4 separate regions of the Mus musculus genome follow, and regions 2, 3 and 4 are each reported to be linked to region 1. The links are microRNA targets in miRTarBase. Many come from high-throughput screens and were not tested one by one. Region 1 holds a microRNA gene; each other region holds the end of a gene's coding sequence.
The links. Region 1 holds the annotated microRNA mmu-miR-297a-5p (AUGUAUGUGUGCAUGUGCAUGU, at 2,337-2,358, opposite strand). A microRNA usually pairs through its seed, bases 2 to 8, with sites in the 3' UTR of a target mRNA and lowers its output. Matches are read on the target gene's strand: a 7mer-m8 pairs with bases 2 to 8, a 7mer-A1 pairs with bases 2 to 7 and ends in A, and an 8mer does both.

Region 1 (3,685 bases):
TTGGTGTCCTAACACGGGACCAGGCGCTGGTATTTTAGACCCAAAAATCAACGGAAAACCAACGAAAGCAGTGAGAAGAAGTGCAATATTCGCCTATGTCTCAGGGTGCTCCAAGGTCATTTAAAACAGTAGGCATTCATGCATTCCCATGAGTTCTTCTTATTTACGATCAGGGAATACTGCAGAAAAACAACAGAACCTTAGGCAAGGGCAGAGGAACCAGAGAGTCCATTTGACCTGAACACTAGCCACAACGCTGCTTCTTACAGAAAAAGAATTAGGCTGGGACACATTTCGTACAACAATTAAAGCACTTCTCTGTGTAAAAGCAAGCACAGCATTCTAGTTTGAATTATGTTAGGAGACAAAGATATCACCAAAAATAGACTCTAATATCATATAAATATCAAGTGTTGACAGGGAAAAACAACACTTTAAAAAAATTCTTAAAGAATTATTAAATAAGCAAAAGGATTCTTAGTTTTTAACGACCAGAAATGTTTTCAATATTAAGAGCAACCCAGCTTTACCTCTTAACCCCATTCAATTAAAAGTGACCTTTTTCATAGAGAATGAAAGAGAAGACAGCTATTAATGAGGGAGGTATTCCAGTCTCCCGAGCCAGATGAACGATAAATTTTAAATTAAGATATATTGCAATCTGAAAACTCAAAGAAAATCATCAGGTGTACGAAAAACCAAAAGAATCACACCATAGCCTGCCTGTGTGCTGAGTTCCAGAGATCCAACTCAGGCTGTCAGGTTTCCACAGAAGCCATTTTCACCTGGAGGGAGAACTAGCCCTGGATCCGTTCTGCATAAGCTCTAAAGCTCTGAGTCACATCTCATTCAAATAGATCGATCAGAGCCACTAATGTGCGTGTAGGTGAATGCCAGTGTGTGTGTTTATGTATATGTATGTGAACATTCATATACATACATTTACATGCACACATAAGTATGAACCCATGCACATACATGGGGGAGGGCATCACATGAATCGCATGCTGATCTCTAACTCATCATGAAGTGAAACATGAATTTGAACTCCAGGACCTCCTGACGCTGGCAAGAGTATTCACCTCCTAACTGAGACATAGCTCTGGCCCAGTACTGCATAAGCTCTAAAGCTCTGAGTCACATACCATTCAAAAGGATAAACGAGTGTCATTCCTGTGTGTGAGTGTGTGTGTGTGTGCATGTGTGTATATGCATATTCATATAGAGAAATGAATATGCACTCAACTATACACCCATGCATATTTTTGGTGGGCATCACATGAATGCCAGGATGATCACAAACTTATCAGGAAGTTAAGCATGAATTTAAATTCCTGATCCTTCTAACTCTGGCAAGTGGTTTTCACCTGGTGAGTTAGATGTAACACTGACCCATAATTATACACTCTATAAAACTCTAAGCACATATAAATCAAACAGATCTATGACTGCCATTCTTATGTGTATATGTATGTGTGTGTGTATGTTCATATACATGCATGTACAAGCACACTTACCTACACATATATACACATACACAAGGACAATCAAATGAATTCCAGGCTGATCTCTAACTCATCATGAAGTTAAACATGAATTTGAACTCCGTATCCTCCTGACTCTGGAAAGAGTATCCACCTCCTAACTGAGGCATAGCTCTGGCCCAGTACTGCATAAGCTCTAAAGCTCTGAGTCACATATCATTCAAAAGGATATATGACTGTCATTCCTGTATGTGAGTTTGTATGCATGTGTGTATATGCATAGTCATATAGAGAAATGAATATGCACACAACTATACACACATGCACATTATTGGTGGGCATCACATGAATGCCAGGATGATCTCTAACTCATCAGGAAGTTAAACATAAATTAGACCTCCTGATCCTCCTGACTCTGGCAAGAATACTCACCTCCTAACTGAGACATAGCTCTGGTCCGTTACTGGATAAACTCTAAAGCTCTAAGTCACATACCATTCAAAAGGATATATGAGTGCCATTCCTGTGTGTGCTTGCGTGTATATGCATATTCATATAGAGAAATGAATATGCACACAACTATACACCCATGCACATTTTTGGTGGGCATCACACGAATCGCATCTGATCTCTAACTCATTATGAAGTTAAGCATGAATTCGAATTCCTGATCCTCCTGACTCTGGAAGGATTATTCACCCGGTGAGTGAGATCACGCACTGGCCCAGTCATACAGAACCTCTAAGACTAAGTCACATATCATTCAAATGGATCCATGAGTGGCGATTTTGCGTGTATTTGTGTGCATGCTTGTATGGGTATGTGTGTATGTATATGTATACTCATATACACACATGCACATGCACACATACATATACACACAGGCACATACACTGGGGGGGGGGGGCGCCATCACATGAATCTGAAGCTGATCCCTACCTAATCATGAATTTGAGAATGAATTTCCACTCCTGATCCTCCTGACTCTGGCAAGCATTTTCACCTTGTGAGTGAGAGCACCCACTGATCCAGCCCTGCATAATCTCTCAAACTCTAAGTCACATACCTTTAAGGCCTGACTCTGGCAAGCACTTTGACCTGTTGAGTAAGAGCATGCACGGGCACAGTACTGCATAATCTTTAAAACTCTTAGTCACATATTATGCAAGTAGATGAATGCAAGTCACCATGTGTTTGTGTGTGTGTTGCATGTGTGTGTGTGTCTGCACATGCATATCCATATACATTCATGAACATGCACACACATGTAAGCACACGTGCACATACATGGGTGGCATCAAATGAATACCAGGATGATCTCTAAATGGAGTTTGAACTCCTGATCCTCCTGACTTTGTCAATCATTTACACCTGGTGATTGAGACCATTCACTGTCCCTCTACTGCATAATCTCTAAAACTCTAAGTCATATATCATTCAAATGGATCGATGAGTACCATTCCTATGTTTGTGTGTTTCTGTGCTTGCATTTATACATGTGTGGATGTTATATATATTCATATACACACATGCACACACAACTATACACACGTTCACATGCATGGGGGGAATCACATAAATCACAGGCTGATCTCTAAGTCCTCATGAGTGTAAGCATGCATTTAAGCTCCTGATAGACCTGACTCTGGCAGTTGTCTACACCTGATGAGTGAGAACACTCACTGTCCCCGTACTGCATAATCTCTCACCTCTAAGTCACATGTTATTCAAATGGATCTAAGAGTGCCATTAATGTGTGCGTGTGCATGCATGAATATGTGTGCATGTATTTATATGTATATCAATATATATATACATGTACATGTACACACAAACACACATGCACATACATAGGGGTCATCACATGAATGCCAGGTTGATCTCTACCTCATCATGCAGTGAACATGAATTTGCACTCCTGATCATCCTGGCTCTGGCAAGGGGCGTCACCTGGTGAGTGAGACCTCTCTGTGGCCCAGTCATACAGAATCTCTAAGACTCACATATCATTGAAATGGATCGATGAGTGTCAATTTTCTGTGTGTTTGTGTGCATGTTTGTATGGGTATGTGTGTATGTATATGTATATTCATATACACACATGCACATGCACACATACATATACACACAGGCACATACACTGGGGGCATCACTAGAATCCGAAGCTGATCCTGGACTCATGAATTTGAGAATGAATTTCC
Region 2 (3,685 bases), not on the chromosome of region 1:
AAGCTTTATTACAGGGTTTTGTCTTTTTTTTTTTTTTTTTTTTAGCATTCCTTTGCACATGAGATTGAGTAATGAATAAGATGCTTTAGATTGCACTTTTGTTTGTGTACCTCACTTGTGGCCCCTAGCAGCAGTGGAGGATGTACAGCTCCTACAGTAGATAGACAGCAACATCTAAATTTCTGGATGCCATAATTGCTCAGCCTCGAAGAACAAGATGCTGAACTAAGCGCTGTGAACTTTATCTCTGAGAAAATGAGATCAGTTTGTCCCCTTTGCGTAGTCATCTAATGAGATTTTTAAAAAAATGATTTTAATAATCATCACACAAGCTCATTAGAAGCTTAGCATTGTGGTGTATGCCTTTGATCTCAGCAATAGGGAGGCTGAGACAGGAGGATTTCCCTGAGTTTAAGGCCATCATGGGTTACAGAGAGTCAATCTGGAGCATAGAGTAAAACCAATCTAAGTCAAATAAAAACTTGCAGAAAGTATATAGAATGAGAACCAACCTATGGGTCCTTCTCTAAGGAAACGAGCACGCACTGTTGGATTTACAAATTTCAAATGGGCAAGCCCTGACATGAAACTCTCTTTCCCCATTCAGGTTCACCACAAAGCACTTGAATGATGAATCGACTTCCAAACAGATTCGAGCGATGCTTCAGTAGAGGCCTGCTCAGAGAGGAGGATCTATGCTGACCTCAGAAGATGTAGATGTTTACATAATTTAATACAGATTGATGTTAATACTTGTGTATTTACATAACCATTTCCTTCTTGTCACTGAAATATATGGACCTGAATTTGTATCCTGACTGATTCAACCCAGCCGAGCATAAATTGACTTGAGCGCCTTACCTTTGATGTCTGAAGCGAAACTCCTTTCACCAAGGGCCAGATTCGGAAACTTCAACCTTGGCTGCTGGAGTCCTGTAGTGATACCTGTAACAATCAGAAATTCTTAATCGCTTGTGGTATGGTTTTAATTCTAGATGTTTTATCTCTCTGGGAGTATAGTTTATAGAAACACAAAGTACTTGATTTCCTGTGTCGGCTCAGATACAAGAAACACACACAACTGTTACCCTGACAGAGAACAGAGAGAGAAGATCCAAGATAAGAAAACTGCATGTGGAGAGCGGCGCACAAGAGTTCTGAGTTCAGCACGTCCCCCACCCTCTTCCTGCCGCCTGCAAACCTCACGTGCAGCTTTTCTATATGCACGTGTTTTATTAATCTGAATATTCTCCTTCTGTCTCGGTTTGTGTCCCTTTCATTCCCTTTTAGTATTTGCAAGAGGAAAATTGTCTGTGTTTTAATCAGCTAATGAGGAGGCTATGGGATGGACAGAGGGCTTCTTGCAGGAGAATTGAGAAAAGTGACTATCTTAAGAATATTATTTCTTTTTTTAAAAAAGAATATTAGAGAGAAAGAGAGAGAGAGAGAGTTGGCATAAGGACAGTCTTATCTGTGTCAACCCTCTGCCTGCAGGGACAGATAAATGGAACTCTGGTTGTGATATCATAACTAAGATCAGTCACCTCCCAGGAGTCTGCAGAGTTCTAGGTACACCACCCGTCTTAATATGGGAGCTCCCATTCTGTATCAAAATGGACTGTTCATATCAGAGCTGAGAACTAAAGCACTTCGTTCATTATCAGAAAACTGGAGGAATTTAGAGAGAGGAAATCTACGATTTCTAATTACCTGGAGTCAGCCCCCACTAGTCTGAGTACTTCGGCAAATTCACTTTTTGTCTCACCTTCATCATATGGCTCAGTGGTTAAGAGTACCTGTTGCTGTTGCAGAGGACCTGGATTGGATTCCCAGCACCCACTCAGTGGCCCACAACTATCCAATACTCCCGATGCATGGGATCCAGTGCCCTCTTCTGATCTCTATGGGCATCAGGCATGCACACAGTACACTTATATACATGCAGAAAAAAATACTGAGACACATGAAATAAGATAAATCTTTTTTTTAAATCTAAAATGGAAGGCTACTAGGAGCCACTACACTAACCTTTCTTCATGCATAAATCCAATGAGTACTACCCCACCCATCTTGATGAATATCAATATCTTCAGGACTGCAATCATTCTGCCTATAGGTCAGAACTGAGCTAGGATGGAATCTTGAAACATATTCTGACCTCCAATGAAAAGATATGGGCATACAAGGTGAGTTGTACGTAGAACTAAATCCTTGAGTGTTTCCCACCTGACTCTACTATACTCTTCCTGATCACCATGTGGCCTAAGAATATATACTATGGAGTCTATGGACCACTGTAGAGAAGTTTTTAGTCTAGCCTGTTTGATTACTTGTAAATCTCTGCTAGAAGGAGAGAATTTTCCAGACAACTGAATGAATGATAATCCTGGAAGTCAGGTCTAGGATGATTAGGGTGTGGTATTATTTGGTTTGCAACATCCCAAGGCAATACTTCCAGACTAAGGTGGCCATCCAGCATTCCTTTGAGTCCTCCAAGAAAGATGATACTTGGTTCATTTCAAAAAACCAAATGCAGACAAATGGGAGAACCAGTTCCCCAGCTTATGTTAGCATAGTCAACAGCGAGCATAAAGACTTTGTCACTTGGAGCGTTACCAGCAGAGTAAATGTGGCCATTGACTGGCCTAAGCATTCTCTAAGAGTTGTGCTAGATGGCTTCCATGATCTTGTCAAACCTAGAAATTCCAAAATCTCGAGGAAGCTAGAAAACACAATCCTGTGGCAGTAAGACATTCTCCAGTGTTCAGCTTTAGGGATTTTCTATTTGGCAGCCATAGGCAATGCTTATTTGGGCAACTCTCACGCCTACAAGAGCAGAGATGCACAATAAGCATTTGTCCATTTGCTCTTTCCTCAACAGAGGAGATTAGGATTTCAAAGAACAAAGAACTGCCCAGTTTCTATTGGGCTCTTAGACACAGACCTGAGCCATGAACCCAAGCCACGTATCTACACCATAGCTGCCTCTCAGCTGGCTACATAAGGAAACATTAGGGATTAACTGTCAGAATATACATACATACATACATACATACATACATAAATAAATAAATAAATAAATAAATAATAGCTTAGGACATTTGTAACTCTTAGTTAGACTTTCTATTAAATGGGACCAAATGTGTGTATGGGTGCTGTCAGTCTGCTTCAGTCTAGCCAGTCCAGTATCTCCAAGATGAGACTCAACAGGACTTGGATTTTGAGAAGCCCAGGCTCTAAATAATAGCCTCAGGTCATCAGGGGGACAGACTGAGTGTCTGTGATCACTAACAGGGAGTGGGCCTTGAGTCCACTCCAGAACTGTGGTGGGAGACCAATACTCTTAACAGACTGTCCAGTAGGTATCGGGAATCCTTGAACAATTTGGGTTTTCTTCCCCTTTTTTCTCTTTCGTGCTGCATGCACATTTATCCAACACTCACGGGTTGTTTGGGAAAAAGTACCAGCAATGATGTCGATGTTAATAATACTTCATAATTGATATCTTATAGCTTTCAAGTAAAGTGTTTTCTATAACTCAGATAATTAATTTGAAGCAAGAAAGAAGGTAAAAATGAGGTTTCCCAGCCATGTTGCTGCTTTTGGCATGGTCGCTTCTCTGAGGTTCACCTAGGCTTTCACAGCAAAAGTTGGGTGGAAAGAGAAATTTTTATTTGTGATGACA
Region 3 (3,685 bases), not on the chromosome of region 1:
ATGTCAATGCTGGGCAGTGATGGCTCACACCTTTAATCCCAGCACTTGGGAGGCAGAGGCAGGTGGATTTCTGAGTTCGAGGCCAGCCTGGTCTACAAAGTGAGTTCCAGGACAGCCAGGGCTACACAGAGAAATCCTGTCTCAAACAAACAAACAAACAAAAAAAAAACCTTTATTTTACATGTATGAATGTTTTGCCTGCATGCGTATGTATCATGGGGGTGGGTGGGTGGTATCCAGGAAAGCCAAAAGATAACCCTGGATCACTTTGAACTGGAGGTGTTTTTTTTTGTTTTGTTTTAAAGATTTATTTATTTATTGTAAGTATACTGTAGCTGTCTTCAGACACACCAGAAGAGTGTATCCAATCTCATTACAGATGGTTGTGAGTCACCATGTGGTTGCTGGGATTTGAACTCAGGACCTTCTGAAGAGCAGTCAGTGCTCTTATCTGCTGAGCCATCTCTCCAGCCCAGCCCTATTTATTCATTTTTAGTTTTGTTTTTCTTTTTCCTTTTTTTTTTTTTTAAGTTTTGTTTTTCAAGACAGGGTTTCTCTATATAGCCCAGGCTGTCCTGGAACTGGTTCTGTAGACTAGGCTGGCCTTGAACTGAGAGATCTGCCTGCTGGAATTAAAGGCATGCACCACCATTGATGAGCAAGAGAAAGAGAGAGAGAGAGAGAGAGAGAGAGAGAGAGAGAGAGAGAAGGAAGCAGCAAATTATCCTGGTAGGGAGGGACAGGACAGTGTCAGAGGCCTGGTGATGTCTACGTATCTGAAAGGAAGGATCCTTCCTCTCCTGGATGGAGCTGTCATAGGGTAATCATGGTTTGAATACAGAGCGGGGTAAATAGAGAAGCCTAGTTTTCTCCTATCTAAGAACTAATCAGACCCAACCCTGCTTACCTTCCAAGATGTGTTTGAGATAATATGGCTAAAGACAAAATCTAGCTTTCTTTTCTTTCCCGTTTTTTGTTTTGTTTTTATTTTGTTCTGTAGACCAGGATAACTTTTTTTTTTTTCCGAGACAGGGTTTCTCTGTGTAGCCCTGGCTGTCTTGGAACTCACACTGTAGACCAGGCTGGCCTTGAACTCAGAAATCCGCCTGCCTTTGCCTCCTGAGTGCTGGAATTAAAGGCGTGTGCCACCACTGTCTAGCTTTTTTAACAGAGGACTGAGGAGGGAGCCCCAGGGAACTGGGAAATGCTACAAAGATCAAATAGAGTCAGGAACTTATGACTGTGACCCCTATAAAGTAATGAGACGGGAGGCTCATCCCCTGGGTGCCCATATATCCTACAGATCTTACCATCAATCTGGTCTTAGACTGAACACTGGAGTATTCACATGGGCCAGGTCTGAACAGCTCCATAGCATCAATAACGCCTGACAAGCCAGGCAGTGGTGGCGCACGCCTTTAGTCCAGGACTCAGGAGGCAGAGGCAGGCGGATTTCTGAGTTCAAGGCCAGCCTGGTCTACAAAGTGAGTTCCAAGACAACCAGGGCTACAGAGAAACTTTTTTAAAGGGGTGGGGTAAACCAGGCGTAGTGGCACACTCGGGAGGCAGAGGCAGGCGGATTTCTGAGTTCGAGGCCAACCTGGTCTACAAAGTGAGTTCTAGAGAACTCACAGAGAAACCCTGTCCCGAAAAGAGAGAGAGAGAGAGAGAGAGAGAGAGAGAGAGAGAGAGAGAGAGAGAGAGAGAACAAAAGAAACAAACCAAATCACAGATTACATCAAAAAAAGAAAGAGGAAGAAAGAAAAAGGATAAAAGAGCAGAGGTCTGCAGCATTTCAGAGCCAAGCCTGCATGGAGCGGCACACTTCACCCGAGCAATGTGCTCCGTTAAGGAATCATAGTTGTGTGGTCTTTCTCGAGAACCTGGGAATCAGCCTGATCCCCACCTTCCTACTCCTCCACTCCTGATTTATGGGCCCTGATGCCCTGAGACTGCAGCCCCCAACACAGGAGGGAAAGGGACAAAGAATAAGTCCAGGGGACCTTACTGATGGTCAATGCACGTACAGTCTTTATTGTAAAGAAGTTGCAGTTGTAACAGGGGACACTGAAAATACACAATCATGGATTGTTCTTTCAGAGGAAAAGGAATAGATCCATATATACAAAAATTGTAAACATGTTCACTTAAATATCCACATGATTGGTCTATGCTACAACGTACAGGGTTGTCATTCAACTGCAACTCCACAGGGAGGCATTTTGTCTGGAAGAATGAGACATGGCAACGAGTTTGGTTTTGACTTGATGTGAAAAGCCAGCTTCAAGCAATGTATGAGTAGTCTGCTATGCACAAGGACCCACACCTGGTCTGGGCCTTAAAAGGGGATAGAAGATAGACTAGGGAGGGACTGGTTCAGGAAGCCAAGGTTAAGCCATTTACAGGAACGACTCTCCAGTGACACCCTGGGCAGATGAGACCTTTAGTCCTCTCCTTGTAAGAGTCTTGTCTTGCCTGGCACCCAGGTACCCAGCTGTCTGTTCCCTAGGGAAGGTCTTACTGAAGGGCGGGTGCCCAGGCCCATAGTTGTCTATACCTTCCTGGCCAGAAACACCTGGGCAGGAGCCACACAGAGAGGGGCGGCTTATGGGGGCACTATGAGATGAGACCTGAAGACTTAATCACAATCACGACACCGACAGGGCTGAGCTGCTCTAGGGATCCTGTAAGAGGAGGGGAGGGAGCCTCTGGACAGGGTGGACCACCATGTGGAGCCAGGGACATGGGACTGGGAACAAGGGCCATAATCCCCACCTAAGGGTACAATTAGTCTCCCTCTCCCTGGTCCCCAGAGCCCTTGCACCCTGAGCTGGGAGGCAGCTGGACTTCTGACCTAGAGTGGACAGGTGAGTCCCTGGTTGGCTGGCCCATAAAAGGAATGCCTCCCAGGCCAGTCCACTCCAAGAAGTAGTTTTCTTCTCAGGGCCTTAAGACTGAGATCTCTGGCTAGGGGGGAACTTTGTGGGGACAGTCCAGGCACCAGGGAGGCTACTCCCCTTGGTCCCAGAGGCCCATAGTGGCCACCTTCTCTGTCCTTGGCACGGTAGGACCCAGAAAAGGTCTCAGGAGGCCTTGAGGCCTACGGTGGTGAGGTGGCCTTCCAGCCCTGGCCGGAGCCTAACACCTACTAATAGGCAGGCACCTGGTACCCTTTGGAGCTGGTGTCCAGGGTCTCAGTGAAGGGCGGGCTCTGGTATGTTTCTGTACCCTCCACACCACTGCCCACTGGGTAGCCTGGGTAGGCCTGGGCAGCCCCAGTACCTAGCTGATCTGTGGCAAAGAGAGACATATCGGTGCCTAGGCGGAACCGCTGCAGGGCCTTCACGGTGAGCGCCACCTGGGTGAGGGAATCAGGGTCAGCTGGGGAAAACCTGGAGACACCCCCAACCCTGCCACCCACGGGTCCCTCACTCACCCAGCTGAGGATGGAGAAGAAGCTGAAAGCGATGGCAGCACGCGCCGCATCTCCAGCCTGCGCGGTGCCTGGCCCTGGCGTTGTTCGTTGCCACTGATTGGTGAGGAAACAGAAGCCTACGAACCACAGGAAGGACCAGACCCCTGCAGGTGGGAGCTGATGATCAGATAGTGCTCCGCCAACAGGACCCACCTCGCGCATTCAGAGAAAGTGCAATGTCCCTTAGGTTCACCAGCAAATTGCCATTCA
Region 4 (3,685 bases), not on the chromosome of region 1:
AGCCTCCTTCCCCCAGCCCCGCTGCACTGTGCTAGAGATCACACACGCATGGAAGTTCCTTCTTGAAAATATGATTTTCCCTAGCTTTCATTTCTTCTTCAGAGCCACACTTCAGGAGCCGGTAGCTCCTGAGATCCTTCCCAGCAGCCTCCACCCACACTCACACTTCAGTGAGTCCCTTGGCTGCCTTGTCACTGATCGTCGCCTCTCTAGTCTTCCCTCCATGTATCTTGGGGATACTATGTAGAGTCATGTCTCACTTAGGAAATGCTTTCATCTGGCTTTGTCTTTTTACCCCAAGCTGAATGGCGTATAAGGAGCCCTGAACAACCCCTTGCTCTTTCCCTATTCTGAGCCACGCCTAATGCCATTAGTGGCCTGAGTGTTTGCTGTAACCAACCACATCCAGCTTGTACTTGAGGATGTTCTTGTGCAATCACAGGAGGGAAGTCATACCTGATATTATCAACATGGTCACAAGGCCAAGGCTAGCATAGCACGTAGGGTGGGACCAACTATTGTTAAGTTGCTAAGTGCCAATATTGTCAAAACTCCTTTTAAGTGTCTATGTTTATGCCTGTGGACCTTGGCTTCTCTCAGCCTTGATTAAAAAAGCTTTCTCTTTTTTTTTTCGGTGAGTGGCAGTCAATGCAAAGAAAGACTCGTAACAGATCAAAGTTCTGAGAGCAAGTGAATCTGAGTGCTCAGCCCTGATTAGACATCTTTGTTAGCTCCACCTTGCCTCCTGCCAAAGCTCAGGGGCCATCCTGGAAGAGGAGGCAGGAAGAATGGGAGAGCTGGAGATTGCACAGCAGCACAAGACCAAACCAGCCAACACTGCAGCATCCATGGGAAAGATGTCATGAGGTTTCTGGCTCTAACTGTTGGCAGATGATAGCTGCTGGGGGAGATAGAATCGGTCTTCTTTGTAATTGTGGTTCCTAGTTAGTGTGTGCATGTTCTAGTGGGTGGCCCCATGCTGCATCTACAGGAAACACTAACTGGACTTAGGTTATTTCAAAACTGAGGGCGATAATTACGTGGGGTACATGTTGGGGAGAGGTGGCAAGAGAGAATGGGTGTGGGTATAATATTTCACTGTATAAAATATGACGTTCTTAAAGAGTAAATTTTTCAAAAATATACACACAGGATTTTAAAGCGATAGTTGCAGATGGGCTGTATTAAATTTCCCTCAGCTCCTTACAGCAGGTGGGGATCCATGGTGAAAACCAGGCAGTGCAGTGTTCACCAAAACAAAGGAAAAGGATGTCAAGAAACCTCAGGACAAATGAAAAGGACATCAAGAGACATCTCCAGTCTAATGTATGTATTTGGCAGATTTAATACAAAATATATTTCATATAAAATAAACTTCATGTGTCGAAGCTTGGCTGATAGAAGAACAAAGCGAAGTCTCAAACTCTCCCAACTCTCTTCTGATGCTAGGTTTTCACACACAGCTGTTGTGACAGCAGATGTTGAATGAATTTACCTTCTTTTCTCAAGTCAGTCAAATAGCACATGAAGTCATGAGTTACAAAAATTACTTAAGAATCCCCATTCTTCTTGTTTTTTTTTCTGTTTCCTTTCCTTTCATTTGGTTTGGTTTGGTTTTCCTAAAATCTACTGTGTTTGTTCAGCACAGTCTCTGCTCTAGACTTCCCTAGAATATTCTTGCTTCACTCAGGCACTTGCAAGGTCACAAGAAGCTTTGGGCTTCTCTGAATCTTCTTTTTTATGCAAGGGTAGCATACACCTACACACACACAGACAGACAGACACACACACACACACACACACACACACACACACACACACATGGGAGCGGGGGGCAATTCCCACAGACAGCTACTGTTTTGAACCATGGAGGAGGCCCCAGTGTGACAACTCTCTTTAGAGAAACAAAAGTATCTTCCAGTGCCGAGAGATGCATATTTCAGCAGGAGGTGTTGTGTGTGTGTGTGTGTGTGTGTGTGTGTGTGTGTGTGTGTGTGTATGTGTGTGTATGTATGTTTGTATGTGTTTCTGTGTGTGCGGTTCTATGTTTGTGTTTATGTGTGTTTCTGTTTGTATGTGTGTTTTTGTATGTATGTATGTTTATGTGTGTATGCTTATGTATATTGTGTTTCTTCTACTGCTATGTTTCTCCTCTGCCCTCTCCACTTGTTGCTCCTATTTGTAGACCCATTTCCCAACCTGCTCTCTGGCTCCCATTCCCTCTACTGTGGAATCACTGAGCCAATGAATGAGAGCAGTTACTGCCATCAACAATAAGAGCCATGTTTACAGAGTAGTCTTTAGTGCCCTTGGGAACTAGCTGTATTTACTTTAAACTCTGATTTTAGAAATGAGTAAACTGAAGTATGAGAAGTTGGATAAAATTCCAGAGCTCACAAAATCCAAGATTGTCCATCAAATTTGGCTGCACATACCACACCGTCAACTGCCACACCAAAACTGCCTGCATGCCCAGGGCACCAGAATTGGCTCATAAAAACAGCAAGCATTTGTTGATTGTTTGCTACAGTTTAGCAGCTAGTATGATCCTACAGATAAACATTTACACAAAGCCAACAAAAACTTAAAGCCACTAAAGTTGAAAGGCCCACTGAGTTCTCTGAATTTAAACTTCTGTCTGCAATAAACGATATCGCAGGTTCCATTTCAAAGGATGTACGAAAAGGTTGAAGAAACAAGGAAGTCCTGCTTGACGTCTGACTGACTTTCTAAGAACTACCTTGCAACACCAAACTCATCCTGAAGCCAAGTTCCTGGAGCTTTCTCTCATCCCATTTCTCTTGTGTTTCCAGCTTTTTCTCTCACCTCTTGCACCTCCCAAGCCTGGGAGAGAGCCATGTACCCTTGAGATGCAGTAAAGATTGGCTCATAGAAAATGCCTCGGAGCGCATAAAATTCTCCAGTTGGAATCCACTGTTAGTTGAAAAATTCTGAAGAGGTGCCTTATTTAGGGGCATAAATCAGTTTGCCAGCCTACCTCCATCTTGGCTGAATGGAACGGTATGCAGACAGCTCTAGGCCAGCGGTTCTCAACCTTCCTAATGCTTCAACCCTTTAATACAGTTCTTCACACTGTGGTGAAACCCCCAACCATAAAACTTTTTTCGTTGCTACTTTGTAACTGTGAGTTGGCTACAGTTATGAATCATAGCGTACATCTATTTTGGAGATAAAGGTTTGCCAAAGGGGCCACAACCCACAGGTTGGGAATCACTGCTCCAGAGGAAGAAAGAATAACAAACTGATTTCTTGTGAATCCCAAGGCCCCCTCTGCGAGTTCAGGATCACAACCAAGGCTCTGTTTCATCTGTGATGACCCGATGACAACTCTCCTAACTGGGAGTGGGGGGTATAGTCACAAAATTCAGCCTTTTGAACCACAGCTACCGCTGTGAATAGGCACACGCATGACCTCTAGCAGCGCTTCACTTGCTTTTGACATCAAGCTCGTCTGGAGCTCAAGGTGCTGAGAGAACAGACCGCGCCTCCGACTCCTCTCTCCATGGCTTGACGGCTTTTGCGGGCATCAGGTAAACAAGATTCTTCCAGAACCTTGAGTTCATGGAGGGACTGTCAGCCCTCCATTTTAGAACTCTGTAGGACTTCAGGAGTTTCAGCGACGGGGGGAGAAAGGTGATGTTGCTGGCTGGAGTAAACTCAATTA

Region 2: the mRNA of Cyria is a reported target of mmu-miR-297a-5p. Seed matches in the 3' UTR shown: 7mer-A1 at 2,179-2,185, 7mer-m8 at 3,035-3,041, 7mer-m8 at 3,039-3,045, 7mer-m8 at 3,043-3,049, 7mer-m8 at 3,047-3,053, 7mer-m8 at 3,051-3,057 and 1 more.
Region 3: miRTarBase lists Syngr3 as a target of mmu-miR-297a-5p. The part of its 3' UTR that is shown has no 7-base or 8-base seed match.
Region 4: the mRNA of Il18r1 is a reported target of mmu-miR-297a-5p. Seed matches in the 3' UTR shown: 7mer-m8 at 2,094-2,100, 7mer-m8 at 2,090-2,096, 8mer at 2,085-2,092, 8mer at 2,071-2,078, 8mer at 2,017-2,024, 7mer-m8 at 2,010-2,016 and 3 more.

Annotation. Positions count from the first base shown.
Region 1 is chr2:10,515,750-10,519,434 of GRCm38, reverse strand. It overlaps Mir297a-4 (microRNA 297a-4), which reads right to left and starts at 2,368; the gene lies at 2,271-2,368. All of the region lies in intron 10 of Sfmbt2 (Scm-like with four mbt domains 2), which reads right to left. Mir466l (microRNA 466l) reads right to left here and starts at 3,338; the gene lies at 3,218-3,338. It overlaps Mir669i (microRNA 669i), which reads right to left and starts at 1,831; the gene lies at 1,705-1,831. It also overlaps Mir669h and Mir297a-3.
Region 2 is chr12:12,372,140-12,375,824 of GRCm38, forward strand. It overlaps Cyria (CYFIP related Rac1 interactor A), which reads left to right. Exons shown (of 12, transcript NM_001146119.2): 12 at 608-3,685. The coding sequence ends at 671. It overlaps 4921511I17Rik (RIKEN cDNA 4921511I17 gene), which reads right to left. Exons shown (of 5, transcript NR_045829.1): 3 at 862-945. Among named protein-coding and RNA genes, the nearest start is that of 4921511I17Rik, 18 kb to the right of the region's middle.
Region 3 is chr17:24,683,083-24,686,767 of GRCm38, forward strand. Syngr3 (synaptogyrin 3) reads right to left here. Exons shown (of 4, transcript NM_011522.3): 3 at 3,437-3,579; 4 at 2,010-3,358. The coding sequence ends at 3,149. Among named protein-coding and RNA genes, the nearest start is that of Syngr3, 5.0 kb to the right of the region's middle.
Region 4 is chr1:40,498,485-40,502,169 of GRCm38, reverse strand. Il18r1 (interleukin 18 receptor 1) reads right to left here. Exons shown (of 11, transcript NM_008365.2): 11 at 1,316-3,685. The coding sequence ends at 3,480. Among named protein-coding and RNA genes, the nearest start is that of Il18rap, 15 kb to the left of the region's middle.